Notamacropus eugenii: one gene and its partners. The protein of the gene in region 2 interacts with the protein of the main gene of each other region in a pairwise test. Links are inferred from orthologs where the notes say so. Each region holds a gene or a part of one and is shown on either strand. Other genes may lie near its edges.

Region 1 (7,925 bases), on a different chromosome or scaffold from region 2:
GGGCCTCCTCTCCTCCCCACCCCATGGCCAACGCCTCCCTAGGAGAACTGAAGGATGCCACAAGGGAGGGGGGAAAGCGGGAAGTGCCCAGCTCATGGGGGACAGCAAAACTCTGGAGCCCTGCCAGAGCTCAAATAAAATGTGTATGGGAAATTAACAAAATAGATAAAAAATATAGCCCACAGAATGTTAATTTGAGGTTTTCTAAGTCAATGTGAAGTCCAAAAAGATCAGAGGGATTTCAAGTCTGTTTCAGGCTATTTTTTAAACAAGTATCGGGGAGTGTTAAGGATGACTAACTACTCATGTAGATTAAATATAAATCAATGACATTAACCTCTAGAAGAGTTCCCTTAAAAAAGCTGTGTTTTATATGAGGAAATCTCAACTGCTGTAGTTTTAAAAGACAGCTAAGCTTAATAATGGCTTGTCTATATTACATTCATCTTAGCTAATCCGGCTCTTCTGCTTATTAAAATTAAAGCATGTCAGAAATCCAGAGATGCTATGGATCACAAGCCAGGACAGGGGCAAACACACGTTTTCTCTGAACGTCAGGATATTATTCACATTCAAACAGGAAGAAATCAAGATTTAAAAACAAAACTAGTTTCTCTCTTCAAGTCATCTGATTAAAACTAGCTAAAGGTTCAGTTCCTTTAAAATGGGCATGTTTTACTCTCATTTCTAAGGTTTTCCCCAACTATAAAATTCTACGGAAGATTCTCTGTAAATCAGAAGGAAAAAAGGACTCACCGGGATTGTCATCCCGGATTGCTGATTTCATAAGGCCTTTTGAATCCTCTGCACTCCAAGGACTGACCACTTTTAATCCAGGACAGTGCCCATACCAAGCTGCAAAACACTGGGAATGCTGGGCAGCCACCCCAGCGGAAGCACCATTCGGTCCCCTGAAGACAATGGGCACCGACTGAAGCCCACCTGACATATAGTAAGTCTTGGCAGCTGAGTTTATAACCTGGTCGATTGCTTGCATAGAGAAATTGAAGGTCATAAATTCACAAATTGGCCTCAATCCTGCCTGTTAAATTAGGAAAAAACCCAACATAACTAAGTAGCTTAACGAAAAGGAAAAAAGTATCAACTACCATTGTTGCATTACGTTAAAACAATTTAAGATCAAGCCGAAAATGACCCATGTGCCTTACTTACCATGGCTGCCCCTACGGCAATCCCGGCAAAGCCCATCTGAAAAGCAAAAGCTCGGTGTGGAGGGCAGGCCTCGGCCAGCCACACTCCCGCCTCCCCACGGTCTGTCCCGCGGGCGCCCTACCTCGGATATGGGGGTGTCGATAATTCTCTTGTCTCCGTACTTCTTCCACAGGCCTCTGCTGACCTGCAGTGAACACGAAGGCAGAGCCGGTTACCGCGGGGCGGCCAGGCCCGCCGGGGGCACCCCGAATCCTTGGTCATTACCTTGTAGGCGCCATCGTACTGGGCAACCTCCTCTCCGAGCAGGAAGACCTTCTCGTCCCGTTCCAGCTCTTCGTCCATGGCCTGATTCAAAGCATCTCGAACGGTCACCTGTGGCATCGGGAGGGCGCTCGGTCCGAAGCGGCCCAGGCCCCTCCCAGGGCTCCCCTGCCAGTCCAGGACGGTCCGGGAGAATGGGAGTGGGCCAACCCAGAGAGCCAAGGTCACCGCAGGAACGACCCCAAACCGCCCCTAAGCCAAGCCAAGGTCGCATCCCCCTGCAGACACAATCCAAGCTACAGCCAGAGCGTGGGGACAAAGTCGTCCATCCCGGGCCTATCCGGCTCCTTCCCTGGGAATCCGGGGCAGAATGTTTGCTTTTAATTAAATTAAACTGATTAGAACCTATTTTGGTGGAACATATGATTAAAGAACCGGAAACAGGGGAGGGGGATTTGGAAAAGGGCCATGGCCAAGTTAGCCCAGAAAAGTGGGCGATGGGGGACGGCTGTGACCGGGGGTCTGCCTTTCCTCGTAAAGCTGAGGCTCCCTTGGGGAAAGGGGGGTGCAAGAGGGAAGCCTGGGGACCCTGGGGTTACGTTTTCTGGCTTTCTATATGTGTTCGCTAGTTTTCAACACTCTCCAATTTTCTACAGGCTCGAGCCGCTTGCGGGGGGCGATGCTAACTCTGGGGGGGCCCCTTGGGGGTGGAGAGAAAGGAAGGAGCATTTATTAAGCACCTCGGGGCACGAAGGGATCCTTAGCCGTCTCGGGAGGCAAACACGCCTGCCCTCAACGGGCTTACACTCCTCCACGGGCGGCCCCGCCCCCAGTCGGGCAGAGGTCCGGGACTGCAGCCCAGTAGACGGCGCCCCACCCCCACGCAGGAGTCTAATACGCAGGCGCAGCCCCGGCCTCCCTCCTCTCCGCCCCCCCCCCCCCCCCCTCGCCCCGCGGCCCCTGCCGCCCTACCCCGTACCTGCAGCGCCGCGGGCGCCGAGCGGTGGAAGCGCCTCCGCAGCAACCGGGACACCTGGCGGGCAGGGAGAGAGAACGAAAGTCAGTGGGGTGGAGGGGCCGGGGCCGGCGTGGGAGGGGTGTCTTCTCTTCGGGGTCGCGCCTACCTGCTGGCCGCAGCCGGTGAGCCCTCTTCGCACTAGCCCCGTCGCCATCTTGCCCGTGTCCTCTACCGGTGACGGAGGCTCGGTCTAATGACAACGGCGAGCCATAGCGAGGGGACGGGTCGGCCCCTCCCCTGACCTCGACACCGTCCAATGGGAGGGCGCGGTGTGCGCGTGCTTCCCTCCTTCCCGCTCTGGGAGGCGGGGCAAGGGCGGGACCCCAAAGCCAGACAGCCTGGGATTGGAGCTCGCGTGTGTCCCTTTCCGCCGGAGGCGCCACCTGATTTCGATTAAAATAAACTTTATTGATAGCGTCGGGGCGCACACTCAGAGGGCACGCCGTGCCCTTTGCCTGCGACCGAGCGTGGGTTGAAATCCCAGGCTCCTTTTAGCCCTGACGCTCAGTTCTCCTTCCTGGAGAGCCTTTCGGTCCGCAAAGCTCCTTTGAAGTCTCTGACCCTCCGTTCTTTGATTCCCCTGCTAGATAACGGCTAATTGTCCAGGCAGTCCGCCTGGCCCAGTGTGTGTTGTGGGAGGCGAAGGGGCTCATACTTGGTTGTAAATATCAGCTCTTGAGCTCCACTTGATTGTAAATGTCAGCTTTGTAAATTTCAGCTGAGAGGTCGGCTTTGTAAATATCAGCCCTGGAGGCCGGCTAGGATACTAAGTATCACCTAGGAGACCCGCCCATCTCCATCGAGTAGCTTGGAGAGAGTCCATCTACAGGCATGTAACTTTTTAAAAATTCCATTTTGTTTTATTTTCAGTTTCTAATTTTTCTCTCCAGCCCACTGGGAAAGCAAGAAAAACATAACACAAGTTACAGATAGATGCGTGTCAGGCAAAACTAATGATCACATTAGCCAGGTTAAAAAACACAACAAACTTTGTCCCCTGAGACCGATGCCTTTCGGTGCAGATGCGTAATCTTTCTCATTATGAGGCAGTGCTCTGGAATTGTGAGTGGTCATTTCGATAATTCCTAAATCTTTCACCGTTGAATTCTACTGTGGTGCTGTTGTTATCGTGTGGTTTCCCTGGTTCTGATCACTTCGTTTTGCATCAGTTCCTGTAAGTCTTCTCAGGTTTCTTTGAAACGATGCTCTACACCCACGAGCTCACATTTTAACAAGGAAGACAACTTGCAAATAGCTGTTTACAACTTAGTCAAGGTTTTTTCAAAAGCTTAAAATTTGCACCAAGGCTTTTGGGATGCCCTGTATGCAAAATAGCTGGGAGGGCAGAGAAAAGCTTCCTGAAGAAGATGGTGTTTGAGCTGAGTCTCGAAGCCCCCCCACGGAAGCTGGCCAGTGTGGATGGGTGGAAAGAACATCGAGGGCCTGGGTACAGCTACCAGCTCTAACACCTTTATTACCTGCACAGCTTCAAACAAGTTACATAACACATCTGAGCCTCAGTTTCCTCAAAAGTATAATGAGAGGATTGGAGCAGGTGGCTTCTGGGACTTTTCCCAGCTTTGAATCCGTGATCCATTGAGCAAGGACTTTCCTGGCAACATCCTTGACGGTACAGCGGAATCCACAGCCTCTTACACCCTTAGACAGCACTTGATGACTTTCACCCCAGATCTTCCTTCTGGGGACAGATAAAGCAAGACGAGTTCCTAGGAAATGCATCAGTACTTCAGACACCACACCTGAAGACAGTTATCAGGGTGACTCTAAACCTTCCAAACAGTACTAACCTTCACATGCTATGACCTATGGAAAGGGACCCTTCAATAAGGCGGTTCTCTCTACCTGTATCTGCTGCCCTGCCAGGTTTCAAGTCCACGAACAAGATGCCCCAGCCCCTGGTACCCTTTGGTGTCTCTCCCTTTCTTTCTGTGTTCTACCGGCTTTCCTGCAGTCTTTTGGGTGTTACCTCCTTTAGATTTTAAGCTCCCAGAGCACAGGCACTAACATTCTTTTTGTTATTTGTGTCCTCAGCACTTAGAACACTATTATCATAGACACTATTTATTGGCTTGCTGGTTTGGCAATTCAATTTATTTATTTAGGCAATTCAGTTTCATTAAATGCTTACTGTGTACTAAGCACTGGAAAAAACCAAAACAATCCCAGCCTCCAAGAATTAATATGAGACTGAATAGAGGGGCTGGGACTAGAGTCAGGAGGGCCCAAGTTCAAATCTGACCTTGGACATTTATTAGCTATATGACCCTAGGCAAGTCACTTAACCTCAGTTTCCTTACCTGTAAAATGGGAATAATAATAGCACCTACGTCACAGGATTGTTGTGAGGATTAAATGAGATATTTCTTAAAAGTGCTTAGCAGGGCATCCAATTTATATAAATGCTTATTCCTTTTTCTTCCTCTTGGGGTGGGAAGAAGAAAGTAGCATATAGGTAAACACAAGATAACTTCTGGGGGGAGAAAGTACTGGCAACTGGCAGAATCAGGAAAGACTTCCTGTAGGAGATGGTCTCTGAACCAAGAAGAAGCCAGAGATTGTATGAAGCTCAGGTAAGAAGGGAAGGTTTGAAGGGAAATGGAAGATGGAATAGTGCCTCCTTGACTGGAGCAGAGAGTAGGGGAAAGGAAGGAATACAAGTCAGTCTGGACAGGTAGTGGAAGCCAGGCTCTGAAGGGTTTTATAAATCAAGATTAACTATTGGTATTTTTATCCTTGAATCAGTAGGGATCCACTTGGGGCCTTTGAGCAGAATTATTAATGCCTATATAGTCATGGATGGTTGAATTAGGGGACCAAATGCCCCCCAATGTCTTTTTCTCTTTATTAGTCACATTTTCTCCTCCTTACTCTTCTCTAACATGCCACCAAGGCTGAAGCAAATTAGGGCAGTAGCCTCGGTCGAAGCCTTTGGTTACTCAGACACCTAACAAGGAGGGATTGAGGAGGTTTGGAGTTGGTAGAGCAGGTTCAGGTGTGAAAGAATTCACTTAGACCTTCACTTATAGCCAATAGGAACTTTTTATTTTAACTTGAAAAAAGCATCATAGTGCAAATCAGAACAACACTGAGGTACCACATTACATCTATCAGATTGACTAACATGGCAAAACAGGAAGATGATAAATGTTGGAGAATATGTGGGAGAGTTGGAACACTAATTCATTGTTGGTGGAGCTGCGAGCGCATCCAACCATTCTGGAGAGCAATTTGAAACTGTGCCCAAAGGGCTACAAAAATGTGCATACCCTTTGACCCAGCAATATTGCTTCTAGGACTGTATCCCAAAGAGATCATAAAAATGGGAAAGGGTCCTACATGTACAAAAATATCTATAGCCACTCTCTTTGTGGTGAGCAAAAACTGGGAATCAAGAGGATGCCCATCAATTGAGGAATGGCTGAACAAGTTGTGGTACATGAATGTAATGGAATACTATTGTGCTGTAAGAAATGATGAACAGGAAGACTTCAGAGAGGCCTGGAAAGACTTTTATGAACTGATGCTGAGTGAAAGGAGCAGAACCAGGAGATCATTGTACACAGCAACAACCACAGTGTGCGAGGAATTTTTCTGGTAGACTTAGTCCTTCATAACAATGGAAGGACCTAAAAAAATTCCCAGTGGGTTCTTGAGGCAAAATGCCTTCAACATCCAGAGAAAGAACTATGGAATTGGATCACAGAATGAAGCCAACCTTTTTCTTTTGTATTATGTTATATTTTGTTTTATGGTTTCTCCCCTTCATTTTAATTCTTCTATGCAACATGACTAAGGTGAAAATGTATTTAATAGGAATGTATGTGTAGAACCTATATGAGATTGCATGCTGTCTTGGGGAGGGAGTGGAGAGGGAAGGGAAAAAATCTAAGATATATGGAAGTGATTGTAGAACACTGAAAACAAGTAAAATAATTAAAAAAGAAAAATTTTAAAAAATTAAAAAAAGAAGAAAAGAGCATCACGGGGCTCCTTAGCAAGATGGCTAAGTAAAGTCTCAATATTCAGGCCTCAAGTTATGCTTATGAAGAGATTTCAGAATGATGATGTAGTTTTAGAGATTTTTATGGGGGTTGAAGATTAGGGACATAATGAGGAAGATGGATGACAGGAAGATGAGTAAGGAAGATGGGGGAAATTTTATGGGTAAGGGGGAAGTTTTATGGTTTAAGGATTTAAGGACAGGGCAGGAGGATATGGGTTAAAAATTAAAGGACCCAAGGAACACAGAATAAGGGAGACAAAAGCAATTCTTTTGGTACAGGTTCAAGATAATTGGGAAAAGGACTTTAGGGTGCCTTCAGGTTACAGAATAAACTAGGGGCTTCACAAAGTACTAGAAAAGCAACCTTATTTTTTTTTAACTCTTAGGGCACTGTTTGTATCTTAATCGTGACTTAGTTGTTATGGGGCATGTTGAAGGAGCCAGTGTTTACCAAGGAAGACTGACCATTCGTCCACCCACACAAGAGTCTGCCATTCACTAAGGTCAGGCTAAGTTAAACTGCCCTTTCCCTCTTTCTGGTCATACTCCTCAGCTCAGGCCACACATTATTTTTCCTCTTCCCCTTCAGGATTGTCCTGGATTTAAGTCTTTTCAACTTCTGGAATATGAAGTTTGGAGGAGATGTGAGCTAAGTGGTGAAGATGGTGGGTTCTGTTTTCAAGAAGCCTAAACAATTCCCAGGTGAAGATGTCTGACAGGCGGTTGGAATGCAGGAGAGAAATCAGGGTAAAATGCACAGCTGTTAGGGTCAGAGGAGGTCCTTTTTGTTGACAGTATTGTCTTTGGGGAGACTCTAGAAGAACATGAGGAAACACTGGAAAAAGTATTGGATCAACTAGGGCAGAAGTTCCCCAACTTGTTTGTCCTACCACTAACTTTTCAAAAAAAAAGAAAATTACTCGATGCCACCCTGGAAATCTACTTTCTTTTACCTTTTAACGAGTTTGTTTGTTTGTTTGTTTTTGATGTTTGCATCATTTCAAAAAAATATAGGATATAAGATATAATAAAATATAGGATATAATTTTTTTTGAAATGATGCATCTTAAATTTAATAATTTATTATTTTTATGTTTTTTTTCCTGTATTGAAATTTTGATGATGCAGTATTTTGTCATGTAACAGTATAGTGTATTGTAAAAAGGCATTACCTGCAGATATTCCTGCTGACGTGTGCTGGACTTCCCGACAATGTGTGACACACTCACTTGCCAACACTTGATTGTTAAGACCTGATCAGGACTTGACCACTGATTGATTATAACTTGCATTTTGTGTGTTTATTTGGAAAATAAATATAATCACTACCCTGTTATACTACAGAGGAAACATGTACAAACAACTTTCAAAATTTTATCTTCTTTTCTTATGCTTCCCCTGCCCCTTTATTTTTGTTCAATATCCCTTAATTATACCCTAGGCTACTCC
Region 2 (6,851 bases):
GAAGGGAATATATCCCTACCCATTAACTCACCAGCTAGGTGGTATAGTAGATAGAGAATTGGACCTGGAGTCAAGAAGACCCAAGTTCAAAACCACCTCAGGTGCTTAGTAGCTGAGTAGTAAAACAACAAACCTTTTCCAAAACTACAGGCAGCGGGGCAGATGACAAGAAGACCTTGGTGGAGGACTTGCTTTGTTAGATGGAGCACAACCAGGCCTGAGGCTGGTTAGATACAGAGAGCTAGGGAAGTCTGCATTAATTCAGGAAGATTCAGCCCCAAAGTGGATGAGTATTCCAAAGCAGAGTGGGATAACTTCCTCAGGGACTAAGGGCATGGATCCTACAGGGAGCTGGTCCATATGGGGAGAAGTAAGGCAGCAGTGGTGGGGAGACAGATGACATGACAAGAAGAAAGTGGGAACCAGTGACAAATCAAAAAGTGCTGATCAGGAAGAAGGAAAGAAAAGAGACAAGGGATCACAGACTACCCAGAGACGTCAACCTTTTACATAATGAATACTTTTTTCAGGAATTTCTAGGAACTGGTCATGGCAAGTATTGAATAACCATCAAAAATTTAAAAAATGAAACTGATTCAACTTTGATGGACAGGAAAAAAAACTCACTATTGATGTCAAAGACATCCTAAAGCAGTTGTCAGACTACTGACTTGTTAGAGCAAAGATCAGAACGAGTAACCAGTCGGAGTAATAATGAGAAAAGAATACGGCATGAAATTGAAACAATTTAATCCTGAAGAATTTAAACTTGTGATTGATTGGCTGGGAAAAATGGGTAATGGATAGAAGGAATGACAGAAGATAATAATTTCATAGAGGTTTAATAGATGTAAATCAAATGGCATAAAAAGAACAAGAGAGTCTTAAAAACACTTTAATTGGCAAATCCTTGACTTTCCTGTCAAGTACAGGGAGATGGTGACCAAAGGCAACACTGATTAAAATAGAAATTCCTTTGTAAAACCTTACGGAGAAGGAGATGGATGATTACTGATAAATGTTTAACAGCTGGCTAAGAGGTAGGGGTGGGGCTGTACCCCAAGGCTGCCACACTTTTAAGTTTAATATACACTAGTAAACTTTTCTCCATCATTTTCTTAAGTCTAGACAATCAACAAAACAATATATCAAGCCTGGATTTTTTATAGTAGTTTACTGATTTCCGAAGTGTAAATGCTCATGCTAAAAAATTAAATTACTGGCTCTCCAGTATATACTTGGATTATGAATAGTATGAATCAGACAAACAGTGGAGGGTAAAATTAGTTTAAAGAAAGCTCAGCAACAGATCCAACTATAATTGGTCATCTCAGGGATGTTTAAAGCTCGGAGGAAAATAACATTCAGGAGAAAGTGGAAAAGATCTGAAAATATTGTTATTGTTCAGCTGTTTCATTCATTTCAGACTTGGTGATCCCATTCAGGTTTTCTTGGCAAAGATACTAGAGTGCTTTGCCACTTCTTTCTCCAGCTCATTTTACAGATGAGGAAACCAAGGCAAACAGGGTGAAGTGACTTGCTCAGTCACACAGCTAGTAAGTGTCTTAGGCCAGATTTGAACTCACCAAGATGAGTCTTCTTGATTTCAGGCACTGTGCTCTATGCACTAGCTGCCCTAGTTTTCATATATAACAACCATCAAAGTGCGGGATAGCACTCCAAGGATGGCTCAAGAGTGTTTCTTGACAGGTTGTCTGATTTCATCCATGAATAAAAAGAAGTTCTGGCTCTCAGGACAGTGACTTTTTTTATATTTAATTTTTATTTTTTCTCAATTACATGTAAACATTTTAAATAGTTTTTTAAATTTGAGTTTCAATTTCTTTCCTTTCCTCCCTTCCTTGAGAAGAAAGCAATTTGATACATGTTCAGTCATGCAAAACATTTCCATATTAGCCATGTTGCCAAAGAAAATGAAGACCAAACAAAAAAACCCCAACAAGAATAATAAAGTAAAAAGGTATGCTTCAATCTGCATTCAGACTTCATCAGTCTTTCTCTGGAGATAGAGAGCATTTTTCATCCTAAGTCTTTCAGAATATGACAGTAACCTGCACAGAAAGGGATCTTGAGGGCTAAATGTTTCTTAGAGCAATTTAATCTATCTCCCTTGGGCAGGTATCAGTCAATCAATCAACATTTATTAAAAAGCTTACAAGATGCCAGGCATTGTGCTAAACTTTAGAGTCTACATGTAAAAAGCAAAACAATCTTTGGGGGAAGCCAAAATAGGAGCTGGCCTGATTTATACAAGGTAGAGAGGAGACAGGCTAAACACACAAAAAAGCAAATAAGAAATGACCCCCGTATCCTTTGACTGAATACCTTTTGGGGTCTGTTATTGGTCTGGAGGGCTGAATGATTGCCTTCTTACACCTTACTTTCACCTACTTACTTTTTGATCCAGTGACACAGTTTCCATGCTATGCCTCCTACAAGATGCCCCATCCCCTGACCACACTTCCCCTGATTTTCCCCCCATGCCTGATTTTCTCCCTCCTCATTTCCACCTCCTTTCTTCCCTGGCTTCCTTCAAGTCTCAGCTAAAATCCTACCTTCTTCTGCAGAAACCTTTCTTGGTCCCCCCTTAACCTAGGTAGGGCCTTCCCTCTGAAATCACCTCCAACTTTACCCTAAATTTTATTTTCACATAACAGAGCTAGCCTTTGTATAGCGATTTAAGGTTTGCAAGCATTTCACAGGGATGTCTCTGTTTGCATGTCATCTGCCCCTGAGACTATAAACTCCTTGAGGGCAAAGACTGAGGTTGCCCTTCTTTGTGGTTTGCAGAGGTTAATTAGCACAGGGCCTAGCACACAGTAAGAGCTTAATTAATAAATGTTGCTAACTTGACTCCGTGGCGATCTGTTCGATCTGGGTAAGGAATGACTTACTGTTGCTGGTCATTGGCTAATGGATTGACTATTGGCTCCCATGCAGCTGAAGCTTTAAATCTACTGGTTAATAGAAGGGCTGTCGGTTCTATCGATTTCGGACGATCGGCTGCTGGCTGTCTGCCGGCCCTTGTGAGCACTGTTAAAATCGCATCTTCTCCGAGAAGCCTTTTCTGATCCCTCTTCAGAGGGGATCCTCTGAAGGCCCCCCCTCAGCTGATCATCCACCATCATCCTGTCTGTATCCCCAGGTGGTCCCTGACTTGGATGGGGGGCTCCTTGAGAGCAGACCTCCTTTTTGATTTTCTTTGTATGCCCACCACCTAGCACAGTGCCCGGCACATCGTGGGCACAAGGGGCTGTGGGAGGCGGGGGCGGAGCATGGTGCCCCACACGCAGTAGGCGCTTTGTAAATGCTAAGTGCCAGCCTGGCACGTGGTAGGCGCTCAGGTAGTTGGCTGATGTGCCTTCCAGACCCACGCCGGGTGCGGAGCGGGGCCTACACTCCCAGGCGCGCCCACGAGTCCAGGAGTTCGGACCAGGAGGGGCGCCCAGGCAGGGTCAGCCCAGCCGCCCTGCGGCAATGCCGAGGGTCCCTCCGGGGCCCCTCAGCCCGGAGAACAATGAGGTCCCTGCTTCTTTAAGGGAGATACCAACGCGCCGCCGGGGGGAGGGGCGGGGGCAGGGGAACGCACCCTGCTCCTAGCCCAGGCCTTGGGCCCAGAGTGCGGGGGAACATGGCACAGTGACAAGAGGGGCTCTCCTCCCGGAGGGGCGGATGCCGGTTCTGCCCGGCCCGGGACGTGCCTTCCCCCGGGGCCGCCTCCTCCCCAGCCCCGCAGGCGTCCGCACCCCACCACAGAGGAAAATGCAAAAAGCATCTGACAGGGGCGAACGCAGCCAAGAAGCCGGCCGCAGGTGGGTGCCCGGGGGGGACCGGAGAGCCGGCGCAGCCCTGGGCTCTGCGACAGGCCGGAGCCCAACCCGCTGCAGAGCTGGGCGAGCCCGGGGCCAGCTGTCCTCCCGGGACGCTTCGCTGGGCTCCGGATGCTGGCGGGAAACCGCCTCCGTGCAGAGGAGGCGACGAGCCTCGAGGGTATCCTCCCTCTCCGACCCAGGCCCAGCCACCCCTGTGGGGAAGGGCGCGAGTGGTGCGTTCCTCAGCGCGTGCACAACGTCGGTCTCCGGGTTGCGAGGCCCAGCTGGAAGCCGGAGCCTCGCGCCGGCGGAGTGCAGCTGCCGTGAGGGCTCTTAGGATCCAAGAGGAAACCGGGAGGCGGGGACAGGGCGCCGGGCGCGCGCCTGACCAATAAGGAGAGCCGCTAGGAAAGCGCTCGCCCAATGAGGGAAGGCGCTCGTGCGGCCGAAGCGGGAGGTTGGGGCGGGGGGGAGGTTGGGCCCTAGATCGGGGAAAGGGGGTGTGTCCGCACGCGGGGGCGCGCGCCGGCCTCGGACTGGCTGCGGCGGCGGCGCGAGGAGCCCGATAATGGCGGCCTGCAGAGCCCGGGAGAAGGAGAGGCGGCGGCGGCGACCCTGAGGTAAAGAAGCCGTCCGGACCGTGCAGGCAGCCCTTGCCTTCCGCCTCCCAGGCCCGCCCACCTGGGTGGACCGTGGGCGCCCTGGGGCCTGGGTCGCGGCCCGGCCCCCCTCGGGCGGCCCGTTGCCGGGGTCCCGGCCGCCTGAGGGGTGCGAGGGCCCCGGCTCTCCCCCGCCCCCCCTCCTGACCTGACAGCCGGGCGACCTCGGGCCGGAGAGCGCAGGGCCGCCCCCTTCCCCCTCCCGCGCGGAAGCAGCCCAGTCCGAGAGGCCCGCGTGACCTTGGGCCTCAGTTTCCCTCTCTGTTCAAGAAGGGGGGCGGCGGTCGCACTCGGCGGTCGGTCAGGCCCCTCCCCATCTCCTAACTCAGCTCCGAGTTCCGAGGGTCCTCCCTGCGCCGACATCCCCGGATCGGAGGCCCCAGCTGGCTCCGGCATTCAGTGCCCCGCTGTTTCTCCCGCAGTCCCCGCGGATGCGCCGGGACCCCCGAGTGCCCCTCCTGTCACTGGAGTTGCACGGAGCGGGAGCGGGGGGAAGGACCGGGTGCGCTGGCCAATGAGCGAGGCCGCGGGCGGCGGAGTGCGGAAGCGGTGTCCGGAGCCGGGCAGGTGCCTGTCCGCCCGCCCGGCGGGAGCGCCGCGAGCCCGGCAGGAGCCCCGGGAAGTTAGGGCGCCTGGGTGCGGGCGTGCACCCCGCCTGCCCCTCCCTGGGGGGTCGCGGCTGAATGTCCGCATCCGGGCTCTCCATCCACCTGGTTTCCGACTTGTTTGTGCAGAGTTGTTTGTGTGTTGTCTTCCCCCGTAGGCTGTGAGCTCCTGGAGGGCAGCTGCTGTCTTTTGCCTTTCTTTGTATTCCCAGTACTTGTTAGCACACAGCAGGCGCTTAATAAATGTTTGTTTGACTTGATTATGATCAGATAAAGGAATTTCACAGTTAATCAACATGGGTGTTTTAGGATGTGGTTGATAGCACATAGTAGGAGCTTAATAAATGTTTTGACAACTAACTGAATACATTTTATAGCCACTGCATTTTCTATTTTACTTCATTAAGCGAGGACTGATATTTTAATTACTTATTATAATTTTTTTTATTGATACTATTAAGGGCCCAGAATTCACTAACAGCTCAACATTCTCAGGGGCATGGCATGGAATCTTCTTCACAGCAACCCAAATAATTTGTATATATTTATTATAATATTTAACATTAATAAAATTAATATCAATAAACAGTATATTTACATAGCACATTATAGTTAATTTGTTAGCACATAGAAGGTGCTTAATTAATGCTTGACTTGAATTGGCTTGATTATGATCAGGTAAAGGAATTTCAGAGTTAATCACCATTTTAGGTTGTGGTCATAGCACATAGTAGGTGCTTAATTCAGTCAGTAGGACTGACTGAAAGCATTTTATAACCACTGGTTTTTTTTCTATTTTATCCCGGGAAGTGAGGATTAATAATATAGCATTTTGCCGTTAACTGTGTTCTTTAGCACTGAGGAAGAGATGCTATGTAATAAAGTGTTTGGGCATTTTGTAATTCATTATTGCAAAAATGTTAACACTCCGTGCTCTCCGTGTTTTGTGCTACAGTTACCTTTTGTAGAAATAAAGTTGTTGTGCTCTCACTGATAATAACAGGGTGTAGTGGAAATAGTCTTAGAAGACTTCAAGTTCAGATTCTGGTGGCTTCGCTTGTACTATCCAGTCTCCCTGAAGAAGTTACTTTGACTTTTTGGAATCTCAGTTTCTTCATCTTTAAAATGAAGAATTGGACTAAGGTCCTTTCCAACCCTAAATCCTGCGATCCCGGGTAGTCACGTAAACATGACTCTAAATCTGTGTCAAGAAGAAAAAACTGAAGAACAGTGAGGGGAAGGGAAGGGACTTGCCAGGTGGTTTGTGGCCCAGCAGGAATTGCAACCCATCCCTTCTAAAGCCAAAGCCAGGGTTTTTTTCTTGACTGTGGGTAATAGGTTAACATTTGACATGACTATACCAGCACACAAAAGGTTTGGGATTGCTTAACATGTTTAACATTTTCAAAGGAATAGAGAAGCAAGTCCCAAGTGGATTTCTAGGTAATCCAGGAAGAGGAGTAGAAACTGTGTAGTATGAGAAGAAAATCCCATATCAGGTTACTTTGAGGCTAACCTAGAAAGGAAAAATAGGAATTCAAGGACTTATGGAAGATCAGATTGGTATGGGAAGAGTTAAATTCTGGGACCTGAATTCTGTTCTCAATGATCTCCAACTTCTTCCTTGATCTTTTCTACGTTCATGTTTTATGCACATCCAGGGACTGACTGTTCATTGCTCTATAGGATTATCATAAGATCGTAGAATTAGAAAGAGGACCTTAGAGGCCATTCATGTTCAAATCCCTCATTTT
Region 3 (7,705 bases), on a different chromosome or scaffold from region 2:
AGTGGAAGGAACCCAGGTCTGAGACTCAGTAAGTCTGAGTCACTAACTTAGAATGTGACTTTGGAGAAGGCCTGCCCTTCCAGGTCTCAGTTTCTCCATACATAATGTGATTCTGTGTGATGATTGATTGCCCCAGGGAAACTTTGGACATCCCTGAGGTCCATGGATGCTTGCTGTGACCAGTGAGAGGGAAGGGACAGACAGACCAGCTGGACTTCCAAAGCTTTATTTACATGGCTAAAGTTTCTGGAGAGGGTGGGCCCCCACCCTACTGCACACCTGGGTGCAGGGACTGACTTCTGCTTCTCTTTCCATCCCCTCTCACTCACTTGGGCCCTTTGGAAAAGTGCAGCCAAGCAGAGCTGAGTCTGTGCAGGGGTCCTTGGGGCCACAGGCAGGGCAAGGAGCCAGGTTCTGAGGGGCTGGCATTGGCAAAGGAGTAAGAGATGGGCCTGGAATACATAGGACTGGGGTAGGAGTGAGGAGGCCTGGGAGATGGGCGGGTGAGTGGGCAGGCAAGTAGGCAAGCAGGAAGCTGCAGGCGGGCAAGCAGGCAGCTGCAGGCAGGCAAGCAGGAAGGTCTAGGATTCAGTCTCAAACATCTTCTTTCTGCCCTCCATTCCAGACTTTTCTTCAATGTTCTTCCTCCAGTCACCCACATCACGAAGGTCCCTTTCCTGGAGGTGATAACAGATGAGGCTCAGAGGCACTCTCCTCCTGCTGTCCCTAGCCCAGCCCAGCCACAGCGGGGGCTTTGACCTCAGCGATATCCTCTGGAGCAATATGCTCCTGAGAACCAAGAAAAAGCAGACCTATCTTGGGGGGACAGCAGTCAGCTAGACCTGGTCCCACTAGTGCCTTGGGTCTCCCTGGGCCTCCTCCTGGATTCTCCCTTCTCCCTCCCCCCAGATTCCTCAGGCTGACAGAGATAGGAGTACTTTACAAAGTTAGGGAGATGGGAGCTGGGAGCCATCTGGGAGGGATCAGACCTTGTGGGGAGCAAGATGCCCCCCTAGTATTCAGGGCCTAAAAGTGAGAGATCTAAGGGAGAGCCTGTGTAAGGTCTGTGGCGTGTCCCCTTCACCATCACCTTCCTCTGGCAGGGGTGAGGTACTTCCTAAAGCTTGGGAGCCTCAGGCTCAGCTGGTACCCAGAGCTGGTGCCCAGAGCTGGCCTGAGCTGGAGGCTGAGCCCCTTTCCCAGAGTTGGGAATGGTTATTCCTGGACAGCAGAAGTCATCTGGTCCCCAGGACCCCCAGCACACACGTGGCTTATGGCTCCAAGTCCCAGATCCACCACTTCTGTGGCTGTGGCTGTGGGCAAATGCCTCAACCCCTCTGTTTCCATTTCCTTGAGTGTGAAACAGGCCTAATCTCACCTACAGCCAGGAAAACTGTGCTTGGTCTGACACCAGTGCCATGGAGGGTGGGTGGGTGTGAGCAGCTCAAGGGAAGGAAGAGTGGGCAGTGGACCATGAGGGCTGAGGGAGGAGGGGGAGGAAGGAGGGAGAGGAGAATGGAGGGAGGAGGGAGGAGGGCTGAATGCTGGGGGGAGGGGCGCTCCCCTCCCCCTCTTACCTTCTCAGTGTCCTCTTTCTTCACTTGCTTCAGGTTGGCTCTCAGGTCCATACACACCTTGTGCTTGGAGCCCAGCAGGGCCTTCAGCATGGCATCGGCGGACATCCGCACCCTCCTCAGAGGAGGCCTCTTGAACTTGCCCCGAAGGTCAAAGAGTTTCTGGTTCATGTCTTCCAGCTGCAGGGAGGTAGGGGAAGGCCACGTCCCTCCCAACCCCAGACCTGGCTCCCTGAGGTTCTTCTTCCCGAAGGCTTCTCCCATCTGTACCCCCCCCAGGACAGAGTAGGGAAGGAGAAGGGGCAGGTCCAGGCACCCACCAGAGTTGGGCAGGAGCTAGCCTGAACAAGTGGGCCCAGGACCAACAGCAGGGGCTGGGGCAGGGCCCCCGGGCCTTCCACACACCTCCTTAGTGCTTTTCTGAACCTTCATTTCCATGTCATACTTCTCCTCTTCAGCTGCATCGACCTTGGCGTGGAGCTGCCGGCAGAGGTCCTGGGGGTGGGGGTTGGGAGGTCTGGGTCAATGGCTTTCAGCCCAGCCTGATGCCTGGGGCCAGGCTGGAGCTGTCCAGCATGGAGAAGAGAAGCCTTGCAAGGGCTTTAGGCAGGGGTAGCTGGATGCCCCCAGTTGCTGGGGATGGTGTGGAGGAGATACGGGAGGGCTGGACTGATGAATGGGATTCTGGGCACCTCTCATCCCTGTAGAGGTGACCCAGGAGGGGCACCTCGATTCTGTCCTGGAAGGTAGACCTACACAGGCTGGAGGTGGGGGCACTCACTAGGGAGGATGTGGTGGGGTTCTGGGGCCCAGAGCCAGGAAGGGAATCCCTGGGGTGTCCCGGTCCCCAATCCCATATCCTGGCAGTAAGCAAGCCACACCAGAGAGGGCAGAGGGCAGAGGACAACAGTCTGGTCCCTCTTACCTGCACTTCAGACATAGACCCTGGCAGGTGCAAGGGTGGGCAATGCTCAGACAGGTAGTTGGCCTTCTCAGATTCCCGGCGGGCCTCCTCTTTCTCCAGCTCAGTGGCAGCTATCTGGAGCATGACACTCTGGGAGGGGCAGACCCCAAGAAAGATGGGGAGACTGTGAGTGGGGCAGGGACCGCTGGAGGCTACCCCCAGGGCAGCAGGGCCCCTCACCCCTGACAGGCCCCAAAGGTCCCCCAGCCCTTTCAGGGTCCAGAACAGCCCATTTGGAAACTCAGCTACAGGCTACTCATGGAAGCATCATTGCCCCTCACTCATCCTTATTCTTTGGTCCTTCTTTTGGGGCCCTTTCATCTCTCCCTACCTCCAGGCTTCAGATATCCCCCCTCCCCAAGAGGAGCCCCTCAGGACCATACCTTCAGGTGCTGCCTGCGGGCCGTGATGGCTCGGTTCCTTTTCTGCAGAGGGCAGAGGGAAACAGGTTAGGCCTGTGTCCTGCCCACCTCCTTCCGTATTTCCCCAATCCAGCCTCTGCCAGGCAGACATAGGGCCTGCTTCTCTCCCATTTTGCAGAAAGGGAAAAGCTAGGTCCAGAGTCTTTTGCAGAATCTTCATGATAATCTCTGTCATGTCGAGAGGGTTTTTAGAGCTGTTACACCAGGGATGTCAAATACAGAGCCCAGGTCCCCGCTGAGGACCAGGCTAACGTGGGACTGGGAATATTTAACAAACTTAGTAAAACTTCAAGAACATATAAATAATATTATGGTGCAAATTCTTGCATCAGCGTGCAGCCCACAGGCACCCTGGACAGTTGTCTCCTTTTCCACTCGAGCTCGACACCAGACACCATTGCTTAACACCCTCAGAGTAACTATCCCCATTCTACAGATGAGGACGCCGAGGCAGATAGAGGTGAGGCAACTGGCCCAGTCAGGGTCACACGAGCTGGGAGGTGAACCCTGGGACTCTCTCAGCCCCAGAGGCAGATTTCCCCAAATAGCAGGAACCACAACAGAGGCCAAGTGCCAGCTCTGCCCTGCTCCCCCCAGCTGTGACCCTCAGCCTGTTTCCTCATCTGTGAATTAGGCCTCTGCCAGGTGAAGCCTTCTGGTTATAATTTGATATATTTTGTTACAGGTTTTGTTATAATTTTATATCATTATGGGGAGTGGGGTGGGGTGGGAGGCAGGGTAGTGGAGCCTAAACTGGCCTCCAGGCCCTGGCTCTTTCTCTGTCCCTCCCCTCCCCTCCCCTCTCTCTCTCCTTCCCCTCTTTTTCTTCCTCCCCTCTCCTTCCTCCCTCCCTTCCCCTCTCTCCTCCCCCTTCCTCCCCTCCCTTCTCTCCTCCCCCTTCCTCCCCTCCCTTCTCTCCTCCACCTTCCTCCCCTCCCTTCTCTCCTCCCCCTTCCTCCCCTCCCTTCTCTCCTCCCCCTTCCTCCCCTCCCTTCTCTCCTCCCCTTTCCTCCCCTCCCTTCTCTCCTCCCCCTTCCTCCCCTCCCTTCTCTCCTCCACCTTCCTCCCCTCCCTTCTCTCCTCCCCTTTCCTCCCCTCCCTTCTCTCCTCCCCCTTCCTCCCCTCCCTTCTCTCCTCCACCTTCCTCCCCTCCCTTCTCTCCTCCCCCCCCCTCCCTTGTCAGAAAGGGGGGGGAGCAGAGGATACATTGTAGCCATCTTGTTCTCTACACTCATGGGAAGGACCTTCTGAGGATGGGGGAAGGGTTTGGAAGTGCTCCTGGGAGAGCCTGGAGGTGTGGGTGTGAACCCCTGGGGGAGCAGGTGGAGGGAAGGAGGGGGGGCCTCTCTTTCTTCACTTCCCCTGTTCCCCGCCTTGACCTGACCACTTCCTCAGTTTCACCAGAGTAGCGTGTGTGTGTCTGTGTGTGTGTGTGTGCATAGTGTATAGGGGGAGGGAAAAGAGAGTTCAAGGAGGGTTGACCAGGGACCAGGCCTTGCTGTGTGTGGGGGGGGTGCCAGCAAGAGGGATAAGCCTGAGCCTGGGGGGCTGCAGGGATAGGAAAGGGGTGGGAGCCAGGTCAGAGCAGACTGGAATAGGGAAGGAAAGGAGCCAGAGATGGTAAGAGTCAATCAGGAATGAGCTGGGGGCATTTCTGGGGTTCAGGTGTGGGTGCCAGGCAAGTGAGTACAGGGAGAATCTGAGCCTCAGGCCCAGACACTTTTATGGGGAGTGGGGTCTGAGGGGGCAGCCCAGCGTCGATGCCCCCAGGAGTGGTCAAACCAGTGAGGAGTCTCTCCATTTAGGTCACATCCCCAAGTCCTGGACCTTGAACCGAGGAAGTCTGAGACTCCTTAAGGGTGGTAGACATAGGTGTAGGCATGGCCACAGGGCAGATTGCTGCCCCCCAGGCTCACACACACGCCTGTCTTCCCTTCTTTGGCATGAACCCACTGAGTCAGTGGGATCTTGGATTCATCCTCTAATTGCTCCAAATCAGTCCCTGTCCCTGGAGGACAGACAGACTAGGACAGAATGGGAGGTTTGGGGGATTCTTAGGCCAGCTTTTTCTGGGAAGGACTGACTTGGCCAGAGCATTTCAGATGGGGGAAGAGGGGAGAAAGAGAAGGCAGGAGAATCCCCCTGCCCCAGGGAGAGGAGATAAATGCTCTAAGCCCTGGAGATGGCGACTTTTGCTCTGCCCACATCCCCATCCCTCTCCTTGCCTCAGGGCTTATCCCCAAACCTCCAACCCCCCCTCCCCCCCCCAGCTGGTACTTACCTCTTCACTGGTCAGAGAGGGAGGAAAGGGAGGCAAGGAAAGAGAGAAGACAAGTTAGAGTCAGGCCTAGAGGATAAACGCTAGAAAATCAGGTAAGGCTGAACCGGGTGGGGAAGGGCAGTGTAAGGGATACTCACTCTCCCATATTGAGATCTTGATGTTAGAACCTGTGGAGAGAGGTAGATAAAAGGGAAATGAGGTCCCCTCCCCAACTAGAGGCCTTCCCCAAAAGGTTTGAGGGGTTCCTGGCACCCCCACCCAAGGGCCCTTTCCTCCCTGGTCAACCTGGTCTTGGAAAATGCCCAGGGGTCAGAGAAAGTGCTTCTAAAAATGGGATGATATTTGTGTGTTGGGGTGGGGAGTGGGGGGCTGGATTACAAATTGCTGCAGCAGCTGTTTCCTTGAGTGACTCCTTCTCCACTCAACTCAGGCTGCAGGGGGTGGGGGGCTGAGTCTTCACTAAGGGGACAGGCCAGCACAGGTGGCCTCTCAGACTAGAGGAGAGGAGATATTTATAGACCTGGCCCCCTTCAGCCCCTTGCTTCAGGGAGAAGAAAATGACTCCACCCTTCAGCCCATCTCCTGGTGTGGGGGTGGGGGCTCTGCTCAGGCCTTAGTAATGAGGAGTGACCATCCAGCCACTCCCCATCCCCAGCTTCTTCAGGAGGGAGATCTAGCCACCCAGAAAGTATTTCTCCAAATCAGGTCCAATGCTCATCTCCATCCTGAGCCTCTGGATACAACCAAAGGGATGTGGGGGTCCTGGGCTCCGCACCACCACCATGGAAGTCCCACAGTGAGTCAGCTAGAGCAAAGTGAGCCCTCCCACAGAGAACATGTTCCCAGCAGAGTGCCTCCACCTTGAATTTCACCTGCCTCCTCCCTGGAAGCCCTGCCCCAATCCTCAGAGACCCCAGCCCTCAGGGACCCCTGCCCTCAGAGGCTCACCTAGCTTCCCTGAAAAGTACCCAGCAGATGGTAAGAGGTCAGGACACGAGATGGAGTCCCAGCAGCTGGGCCTAGTGGGAGGGGGTATAAATGGGCGTCGAGGGCGGGGGCCCTAGCTCTGTAAGGGCATGGCAGCTTTCTCAGACCAATGAGGGACGGAGACTCAGAGACCTCCCTAGGGAGTCCTGGAGATGTGGGGGACGGGGGAGGGAGGCAGGAAAGGAGAGGATCCATCAAGGGAGAGGGAGGAGAGAGAGAAGGAAGAGAAGGGCTGGACAGGAGTAAATCTATTTAGGACTTTGTGACAAGCCCAAGATACCTTGGGCTTCTGAGGAGCTACCCTGGAATAGTGTCTGCTCAGCCCAGTCCCACTCAGACCTCCTTTCGGCTGCACAGAGCCAAGGGCCAGAGAGAGGCATGGCTCTGCCTTGGGCTCCACAGCAGTGTCTTGAAAGAAAAGGTACTGCCTACAGGTCATGAGGACAGTTCTGCCTCTGCAGGTCACCTCTGACCTCATCTGGGTGCCTCAAGGCAGCAAAATAATTTAGCCTTGTTTTTCCCATAGACCACCCTCCTCATGGGGCTACTGACAGTCAATGAGCCTTTATTAAGTACTTACTGTGTGCAAGGCACCATGATAAAGTGAAAGGCAAACACATGTTACCTTCCCTCAACGAGGTCATAATCTAATGGGGAAGACAACAGGTAAATAACTAGGTGCATTGCAAAACTACACAGAACATAGGTCATCTCCAGGGATGTGGGAGGGGCCTGAAAAGGCCTCCTGCTGGAGGTGGAAGTGAGGAGGGAGGGCATTCCAGGCATAGGAGACCGCCAATGCAAAGACTTGGAGTCAGGAGATGGAGTGTTGGCCAGTGGGGCTGGATCACAGGGTGGGTGGAGGGAAAAAGACTAGAAAGGTGGGAAGGGGGCTCATTGTGAAAGGCCTTAAACACTAGAGGAGTTTATATTTGATCCTGGATGTAATAGACTTGGAGAGGTGGGGCTTTAGAAGAAAATCACTTTGGCATCTGAGTAGAGGAATGATTGTGGGGGGAGAAACTTGAGACAGGTAGATCCCCCTCCCCCAACCCCTCTGACAGCTATTGCAATAATTCTGGAATGGGGGAATGAAGGTCTGTATCATGGTCAAGGCAGTGTAAGAGGAGAGAAGGGGATGTATATGACAGATGCTGCAGAGGTGAAATCAACCACAGGTGCTGCAGAGGTGAAATCAACCACAGGTGCTGCAGAGGTGAAGTCAACCAGAGGTGCTGCAGAGGTGAAATCGACCAGAGGTGCTGCAGAGGTGAAGTCGACCAGAGGTGCTGCAGAGGTGAAATCGACCAGAGGTGCTGCAGAGGTGAAATCTACAAGCCTTGGCACTATATTAGATCTGGGGCATGAGAGAGAGGGAGGCATCCAGGATGCCTCCTAGGTTGCAAGTCTGAGGGATTGAGATGATGGTGATGGCCCTGGCCAATAACTGAGAAGTTAGGAATGAGTGTGAGGGGGG
Region 4 (7,294 bases), on a different chromosome or scaffold from region 2:
TGGAGGGCAGAGAGGAAAGAAAAGAGGAGGCTGACTGAGGCAGGAAAAACCCACGGGGCTCAGCAGTCTGCAGTGGGGAACAGGACTTCTTGGAGGGTCCACTGACCATTCTCATACCTTCGTTTCCTTCAGAACTCCAGCGCACAGAGAGTGTTCAAGAGAAGAACATAAAAGAGGCCAAGACCAAATGCCGGACAATCGCATCCCTGCTGACAGCTGCACCCAATCCTCACTCCAAGGGAGTGCTTATGTTTAAGAAGAGGAGGCAACGGGCCAAGAAGTACACCCTGGTCAGCTTTGGGGCTGCAGCAGGAGAGGGATCAGGGGCAGGAGGGGAGGAGGAGGAAGACGGCATCCCCCCGACCAGTGAGTCTGAGCTGGAGGAGGAGACCTTCTCAGATGCCCGAAGCCTCACTAACCAGCCAGACTGGGATAGCCCCTATCTGGACATGGAACTGGCCCGCTCAGGTTCAGGCACAGCAGAAGGGCCAGGACCAGGGCCAGGGGGTGGCCTCAGTGAAGCTTCAGGGAGAGGGGCACGGCTTTTTGAGCAGCAACGGCAGCGGGCAGCCTCTAGCTCCCTGGAACAACCTAATGACACCCCCCCAGCCCTGATGAATGGGAGGGGCCCTCCACCCCCACGGCCCCAGAGCACCCCCCCAGAGGTAGCCTTGTTACCCCCCAGTCCAATGCCACCCCCTGCTACCAGTCCCATTTCTTTAGCCCCTTTCCCAGCCACAGGCATTTTCAACCGTTCAGCAAGACCATTCACTCCAGGATTCCAAGGGCAGCGCCCAGTAACCACTTCCGTTGTTTTCCGTCCCCTTGCCCCAAAGAAGGCAAATGAAAGTCTCAGGAGTCCCAGTCCTGTTCTTCCCCCATTCTTGTCACCACCCCAAGGTCCCAGCCTTACCCCCAGCTTCTCCACCCCAAAGGATCCTGGTAACATACCACTCTCCATCTCCACCAATGCCTCATGTTCCTCAGGCCCAGTGACAGCTACCACCTCCTTATATATTCCTGCCCCAAATAGGTCCATTACACCTGGAGGTCCCCCTGACTCTCAGGCCTCTCACCCCACGGCTGCTATGACCTCCACTGCTTCCATCTTCCTGTCTTCTCCCCTGAGGCCAACTGGACTCCCCATGACATCCAATTCAAGTAATGCTGCCCCTGAGGCTCCCAGTACCCGGGAGCAGAGAATATCTGTGCCTGCTCCCCGCACAGGCATCCTGCAGGAGGCACGGCGCCGAGGAGGGCGTAAACAAATGTTCCGTGGGGGGAATGAAGAGAAAAAAAATTCACCCAACCCTGAGCTGCTGTCATTGGTACAGAACTTGGATGAGAAACCTAGGCCAGGAGGGACTGAGTCTGGTCCTGAAGAGGATGCCCTGAGTCTAGGGGCTGAAGCCTGCAACTTCATGCAGCCTACAGGTGGCCGAAGTTTCAAGACCCCACCCCCTGTGACACCTAAGACCCCACCTCCTGCGGCACCTAAGACCCCACCCCCTGTGGCACCCAAGCCTGCACCCCGGGGTCTTCCTGATGGTCTAGTGAATGGGACTGTTCCCTCCACAAGGGTCCTCCCTGAACCACCTAGACTACAGGGTCGAGGTGGAGAGCTATTTGCAAAGAGGCAGAGCCGGGTAGATAGGTATGTAGTGGAAACCACACCTGGTCCTGGTCCTGGTCGTAGTACAATCTTTAGCTCCCAACCCCGAAGCCCCTCTCCTACCCCTTCATTGCCTCCTTCATGGAAATACTCCCCCAATATCCGCGCCCCACCTCCCATTGCCTACAATCCACTGCTTTCTCCATTTTTCCCACTGGCTGCCAGAACCCTTCCCAGCCGAACGCAGCCTCAGGGACCCCGAACAACCACAAAGCCAGGCATCAAAGCCATCGACTTCATGAGGCACCAGCCATACCAACTCAAAGCTGCCATGTTCTGCTTTGATGAGATTCCTCCAACCCCTAGCCCTATTCCCCCAGGGTCTTCTAAGACCGCTCGAGTTCATGAGATACGTCGATTCTCTACCCCAGCTCCCCAACCCACTTCTGAGCCCTTGGCCCCAACTGTGCTCACTCCTAGAGCCGCCACTTCACTGGATGAGCCCATCTGGAGAGTAGAAATACCCCCAGCTCCAATTCATGCCCCTAGCCCAGCTCCAACTCTAGAGTCTCCTCGAGCTCTCGGGGCCTCCCCTGGTTCCTGCAACTTCCAGGTGGCCAGACCCCGGTTCTCAGCTGCCAGCTCTGGATTGCAGGCACACGTATGGAGACCTGGAGCAGGCCATCAGTGAATTGGGAACAGCCAAGGGAGCCAGAAAATGGAGTACCTAGCAAGGTCTCAGAGTTATTTCTGCCACCCCAAACCCTCTTTTCTAGATACCTGGAGAAAGTTCCCCTGCCAGGGCAGGCTTAGTCCTTCCTTTCCTGGTACTTTTTGTCTGTCCAGCTTTCTCTGCTCTATCTCTTGACTCTTTTTTGGTCTGTTTCTCAACTTGTGTGTCTTTGTTCCTCTCACTGCCTTTTTCTCCCTATTCATTCTGTTATTGTGCCCCTCTATTTTTGTTTCTCTCCTTTGATGCTTTGCTTTTCTCTGTTGGCCTGCATGTAGTAAGTTGACTGAACCCAAATGCAAAGAGAAGGCACTGCTCTTGTAGCCTTAGGCCTGGGTAACTGATGAGAGAAGGAACCTGCTGCCTGGCAGGTGTTCTAGGCCTCTCCTTTCTCCTCTTCTCCAAACCTGGCTCACACCTAGACACGTGTGCTTTGTGTTTACCAAAGGTAAGGAGGAATAGGGAGGTGAGTTCCAACCTGGGCTCTACCCACAGCTCTGCTAAGGTCATGTATAGAAAAAAAGCCTTTCTGTTAAAGAAAAGCTGAGAGATCATTCACTTATCTCTCAGGTGATCTGTATAGTACCCCACAAAACTGAGAGACACATTTTTTGGAAATGGGGGTATCTTAATGGAATTCCTGTTGAGATGATTTCTAATCCCTAAAACTTTTTCTAGTCTTCCTTAGATCTCAGTCAACCACTCTTGCTACTGGGGGGTAGGGTGGGTAAAGAGTTGGGTATGGGAGTAGAGAAACTGATGAACCAGGGCAACTTTGAGGATGATGAAAGGACAGACTTAAGTTTGTTTGGAATGAAGACAGATTCCTTAGGATGGGAGGAGGGTGGGAATCTCCAAAGGCCTATGCTAAGTTAACCTGAGTAGTGGGTTGTGAAGAATGGAAAACTTCCTTTAAGGAGGGATGAATCATTGGCTTCTCAGTCTCATGGATCTAAGTCATTAAGGGGCTACTGTCTTAGAACATGGCACTTGGAACAGAAAATGGGGGCAAAAGAGAAGCTGGAGTGACTAGGCCAGAGTGAGGCAAAGTGTGGGGGTGTGAGAATGGGTGTTGTCAGAATGAAAGTGGGTAAAGACAGACTGTGCAGGAGAGGGGTTGTATGACTGAACTTTAGGGACAGGAGTTGTTAGAGCAGAGTCAGGGAGGGATGACAGTAGAGTGTATATCAGTGAAGTACAATAATCATAATAGCTAACATTTGTATATCACTTACAATGTGTCAGGTGTGTCAGGCACTATGCTAAATGCTTTACAAATATCTCATTTGAGCCTCACAAGGACCCTGGAAGGGAGGTGCTATTATTATACCCATTTTAAAGATGAGAAAAATGAGGTGAATAGAAGTTAAGTGACTTGTCCCAGGTCATACAGCTAGTAAGTGTCTGAGCTGAATTGGAACTCGAGTCATCCTGACTCCAGGTGTAGCATTCTATCCATTGTATCACCTAGCTGCCTCCAATAAGTGGGGAGAAGGCCCTCAGAGCCCGTGCTGCTTCCTTTGTGTCTGTCCTTCAGTCTGTATCCCTCCTTCTGGCACTATGAGCACCCAGGTGGGGGCAGGAAAATATCTAGAACCACAGTCTCCTAGCCCTTCCTATTCCCATAGAATTTAGGTCCCCATTTCCCTGCTTTGGGCTTTAGACCCTGATTGCTGAGCCAGGAGTGGGGGTGAGGGGTTAAGAGCAAGGGGAGCAGAATATGGGATGCACTCCTCCCCCAATCACTTCTGCTGCTTGGTTTTTAAGTTGTTTCCCTTATGTCTCAGGTGTGAGTCACTCTACTTTGATTTGTGCACAGTAATAAACCTGTATCCTACATCTTATTAGTTACCTCGCCTCTCAATCATGCCTTTGTCCTCAGTTTCTACACAACATCCTCTTCTCTGCTTGTTCTGCGGCTCCCCTTGGCTCCTGTTCATTCTCTGCTTTCCCCATCCATCCACCTCCTCTTCCCTATTCTCCCCCATGTCCCTCTTCTTATTCATTCTGCTTGGACCTTTTTTTGCTTTTCTCCATCATCTCCCAGTAACACACGTATACATATATACATACATGCAAACATATTTATCTACATACACATACATTTTCTCCATTTCTCTCAAGTGCTCCACAGCAGAGAATCTGCTCTTTAGGTAGAACTGAGAGATCTTTGAGACGACAGGTCCTGTTTGTTGTCCCTATACTTGTTTGTCACTGAGAATCTTGGGATGGGGCCAGTGATAGTGAAGAAAGCCCAAGACTGGCCATAAAGAAAAAAATCACCACTTTTGTAGGGGAGGGGGGACAGACGGTTTTTAGGAAGGGAGAGTGTCACATTTCCTATCCTGTCAGTAGAGGGCATGCTTGTGCCACCAATCGGCCCAAGACTCCATGAAAGCCCCACAGGAATCGTAAAAATTCCCATAGAAACCTAAGGTTTAGGCAGGAGAGCATATGGGTGCTCCCATCTCACCAGGTGGTTCTAATCAATCACAGAAACCAGTATTTACTGATTTTTTTAAAACTTATTTTGAATCAGAGTAAGTGGGCAGGAATGAGGACAGAAGGTAAATAACAAGTAGTAGGGACCCAGGCCAATTTGGGTAGCACCCCAAAAATGCAGACCTCAGGGTGGTGGGAGGTGTTCTGGGATTTAGGGAACCATTCCCTAAAGTAGCTAAAGCTCAGTGAGGAAAGGGTCAGGGACACGAACAAAAGGAGTGTTGAGAGATAGATCCCAGATCCACATGTAATAAGTGCTGGGGCAGGTATAGGTGAAGTTCAGGGTTTGAGGAGGATACAAATAGAATTCTCTTAAAGGGGTTCTTAAAATCAGATCATTAGCTGGATCAGGGTGATAGTAACAATAACAATATGGACATCTGTCTTAAGATTGAAAAGTCTTGGCAGGCAGGGCTTCTGGGCAGTGTGGCTCCCAGGGTTGGTGAATCACTTGAACTCAGGAATTCTGAATGGTAGTGGGGCTAAAGTGCCCAAGCTAAACTGGACCCAGGATGGTGAGCTCCCCTGAGCCACTAGGGCTGAACCCACCCAGGTCAGAACTTGAAATCAAAGTTTCCAGCCTGGTCTGCAGTGGGGTCAGCTCACCACAGGCTGTGGCACTTCTACCCTGGGTGAGATAAAGAGTCCCAGGCAAAAAAAAAAAAAAGAAGAATGGAAGTTCGGTGAAAGAACCTGAAAGCTGGGGAGACCCAAAGAAAGCTGGCAGGGCTGGAGAACCTGAAGGTATTTCATGGACTTTGTCATCCAAAACTTTTGAGCTCGAGACTCAGGACTCACAAAAACAAACATTGGCTTACAAGAGCTGGAGGCCAAGAATCCACCTGCCCTCTCTTGAAAAAGCTACTGGAAACTCTGGAGCAGAGGTTAGACAGGAGAAAGAAAGAAGGTACAGGTTGTAAAAGAAGAGGGTGGAAGGAGCTGGACCCCACAAGCCCTGGTGGCCTGTCTGAGGTTCATTCAGGGGACCCCTGGGACAGAAGAATCTACTTAAAGGTGAGGCCTGTTCCTCCCTTGCCAACCAGAAGTACTTTCTGGGTGTTCAGAACATCAGATTTCAGTCACAATGAAATCCCCTTTCTTTTTCTCACTGACCTTTCCAGGTTCCCTCTGCACACCTCACCCCTCTCCTCCACTTCCCCTCAGCTCCCCGATGGAGCCACTGATGTCTTCCCTATCTTCTTCTCCATAATAAGACTTAAATATCTCTTCTCTCCCTTCCCCTTCACTTCACCCCTAGGGGCTTCTTTGTCCTGGATGCTTTTTAGGTCTTTGTCTGCGATAATAGGGGAGAGGGAGATGCACAAATGGGGCTCAGATCCATCATGAATATAGCTCAGGCAGCTCAGTTGCTTGAGTCCGAGTGTCCTCTCTGCTCCTGGAGGGCGGGGTCTTAGGCCAGGGTCTCAGTATTCCCCAATGCCATCTGAGCTGCTCTCACTCATCATCTCTATTAATAACCCCCCCCCCCCCTCCACCACTCCCACACCGGCCCAGCTCAGGTTCTCAGGTCAGAGCTGCTCAGCTCTCCACAGCAACTGGACCCCTGGGGGAGACTCTAAGCATACCGGCTCCAACCACAAACTCCCAACCTGTTCAGCCTGAAGGTCTGAAGCTCCCATTCGAACTGGTCCTGTGTCTGTGTCTGCAGCTGTGACCCTTGGTGAGTGCCCCCTCACCCTCTTGGCTCAGCTGTCCTGTGGTGGAGGAGGGCATGGGTGGAGAATGTATAAAGTAAGGATCATCAAGAAGATTGGAAGACTAGCCAGGGAGTTTAGGGAGCAGGGAATGAAGGATGCAGGCTGGACAGCTTTGGGGAGGGGGTTGGCTAGGCCAAAGAGATGGGGGAAGGGCACTGGAAAAAAGGGAAAGGGGCTCAGGAAGTCTGGAACTAAGTGGAAATGAGGAACTAGGAGAGGGGGTTCAAGGAGGTGAGGATGAGTTCATCAAAAGGCTTTAACTTTAACCTGACTAGGTGGCTAGCCCTTGCAATTATATAAAAGCTGTAGCTGGGGTGGAGTTGGGGGTGGGGGGAATGGACTGAGCAGAAGCAGAAAGATTGTGCTGAATTGCCATTTCTGTCTGGGAGGGACTGGGGCCTGTGCCCAGAGTAGAGCTGGAGGCAGATGTTCCTTCCAACTCATCTCCCACTCTACTCCCAGATCCAATTACAGTGACTTCTACACAGAGCCAAGCTCCTCATTTAGTTTTCTGCTCCTTTGAGATTACTGAACTACTGAGAGTTAGGGATCCCTTGAGGGGAGACCCCTAGTGTGAGGGTAAGGGGAGCTGGAGTGTTGGGAGAAGGGAGTTATATTGTCTCTTAAGGCCAAAGGACAACCAGCAGAGAGAATTGACAATTCCTTCTCTCCATAGGAAATATTTTTGGCAGGCAGAAACCTCTTTGCCTTGGCAGAATGGGCCTCAGATTC

The links.
Region 1: the proteins of TRIM63 (region 2) and PDHB interact in a two-hybrid assay, tested with the Homo sapiens proteins (2 studies listed by BioGRID). The link is inferred for Notamacropus eugenii from reciprocal best matches to the Homo sapiens genes TRIM63 and PDHB.
Region 3: the proteins of TRIM63 (region 2) and TNNI2 interact in a two-hybrid assay, tested with the Homo sapiens proteins (2 studies listed by BioGRID and IntAct). The link is inferred for Notamacropus eugenii from reciprocal best matches to the Homo sapiens genes TRIM63 and TNNI2.
Region 4: the proteins of TRIM63 (region 2) and MYOZ1 interact in a two-hybrid assay, tested with the Homo sapiens proteins (2 studies listed by BioGRID and IntAct). The link is inferred for Notamacropus eugenii from reciprocal best matches to the Homo sapiens genes TRIM63 and MYOZ1.

The regions. Positions count from the first base shown.
Region 1 is NC_092874.1:466,872,135-466,880,059, reverse strand, and holds the start of PDHB (pyruvate dehydrogenase E1 component subunit beta, mitochondrial), read right to left. Parts: upstream 3,008-7,925; 5' UTR 2,607-3,007; coding exon 2,559-2,606; intron 2,468-2,558; coding exon 2,414-2,467; intron 2,297-2,413; exon of another isoform or gene 2,175-2,296; intron 1,713-2,174; exon of another isoform or gene 1,555-1,712; coding exon of another isoform or gene 1,546-1,554; coding exon 1,438-1,545; intron 1,358-1,437; coding exon 1,295-1,357; intron 1,210-1,294; coding exon 1,174-1,209; intron 1,043-1,173; coding exon 757-1,042; intron 1-756. UniProt on the Homo sapiens protein: The pyruvate dehydrogenase complex catalyzes the overall conversion of pyruvate to acetyl-CoA and CO(2), and thereby links the glycolytic pathway to the tricarboxylic cycle.
Region 2 is NC_092876.1:67,065,212-67,072,062, forward strand, and holds the start of TRIM63 (E3 ubiquitin-protein ligase TRIM63), read right to left. Parts: upstream 3,005-6,851; 5' UTR 2,916-3,004; intron 1-2,915. UniProt on the Homo sapiens protein: E3 ubiquitin ligase. Mediates the ubiquitination and subsequent proteasomal degradation of CKM, GMEB1 and HIBADH.
Region 3 is NC_092873.1:25,972,499-25,980,203, forward strand, and holds TNNI2 (troponin I, fast skeletal muscle), read right to left. Parts: upstream 3,006-7,705; 5' UTR 2,922-3,005; intron 2,629-2,921; 5' UTR 2,623-2,628; coding exon 2,500-2,622; intron 2,070-2,499; coding exon 1,980-2,069; intron 1,755-1,979; coding exon 1,578-1,754; intron 678-1,577; coding exon 582-677; 3' UTR 211-581; downstream 1-210. UniProt on the Homo sapiens protein: Troponin I is the inhibitory subunit of troponin, the thin filament regulatory complex which confers calcium-sensitivity to striated muscle actomyosin ATPase activity.
Region 4 is NC_092872.1:236,700,722-236,708,015, forward strand, and holds the start of MYOZ1 (myozenin-1), read left to right. Parts: upstream 1-4,289; 5' UTR 4,290-6,525; intron 6,526-7,030; exon of another isoform or gene 7,031-7,141; intron 7,142-7,294. Other genes in the region: SYNPO2L (synaptopodin 2-like protein), read left to right, coding at 133-2,303. UniProt on the Homo sapiens protein: Myozenins may serve as intracellular binding proteins involved in linking Z-disk proteins such as alpha-actinin, gamma-filamin, TCAP/telethonin, LDB3/ZASP and localizing calcineurin signaling to the sarcomere.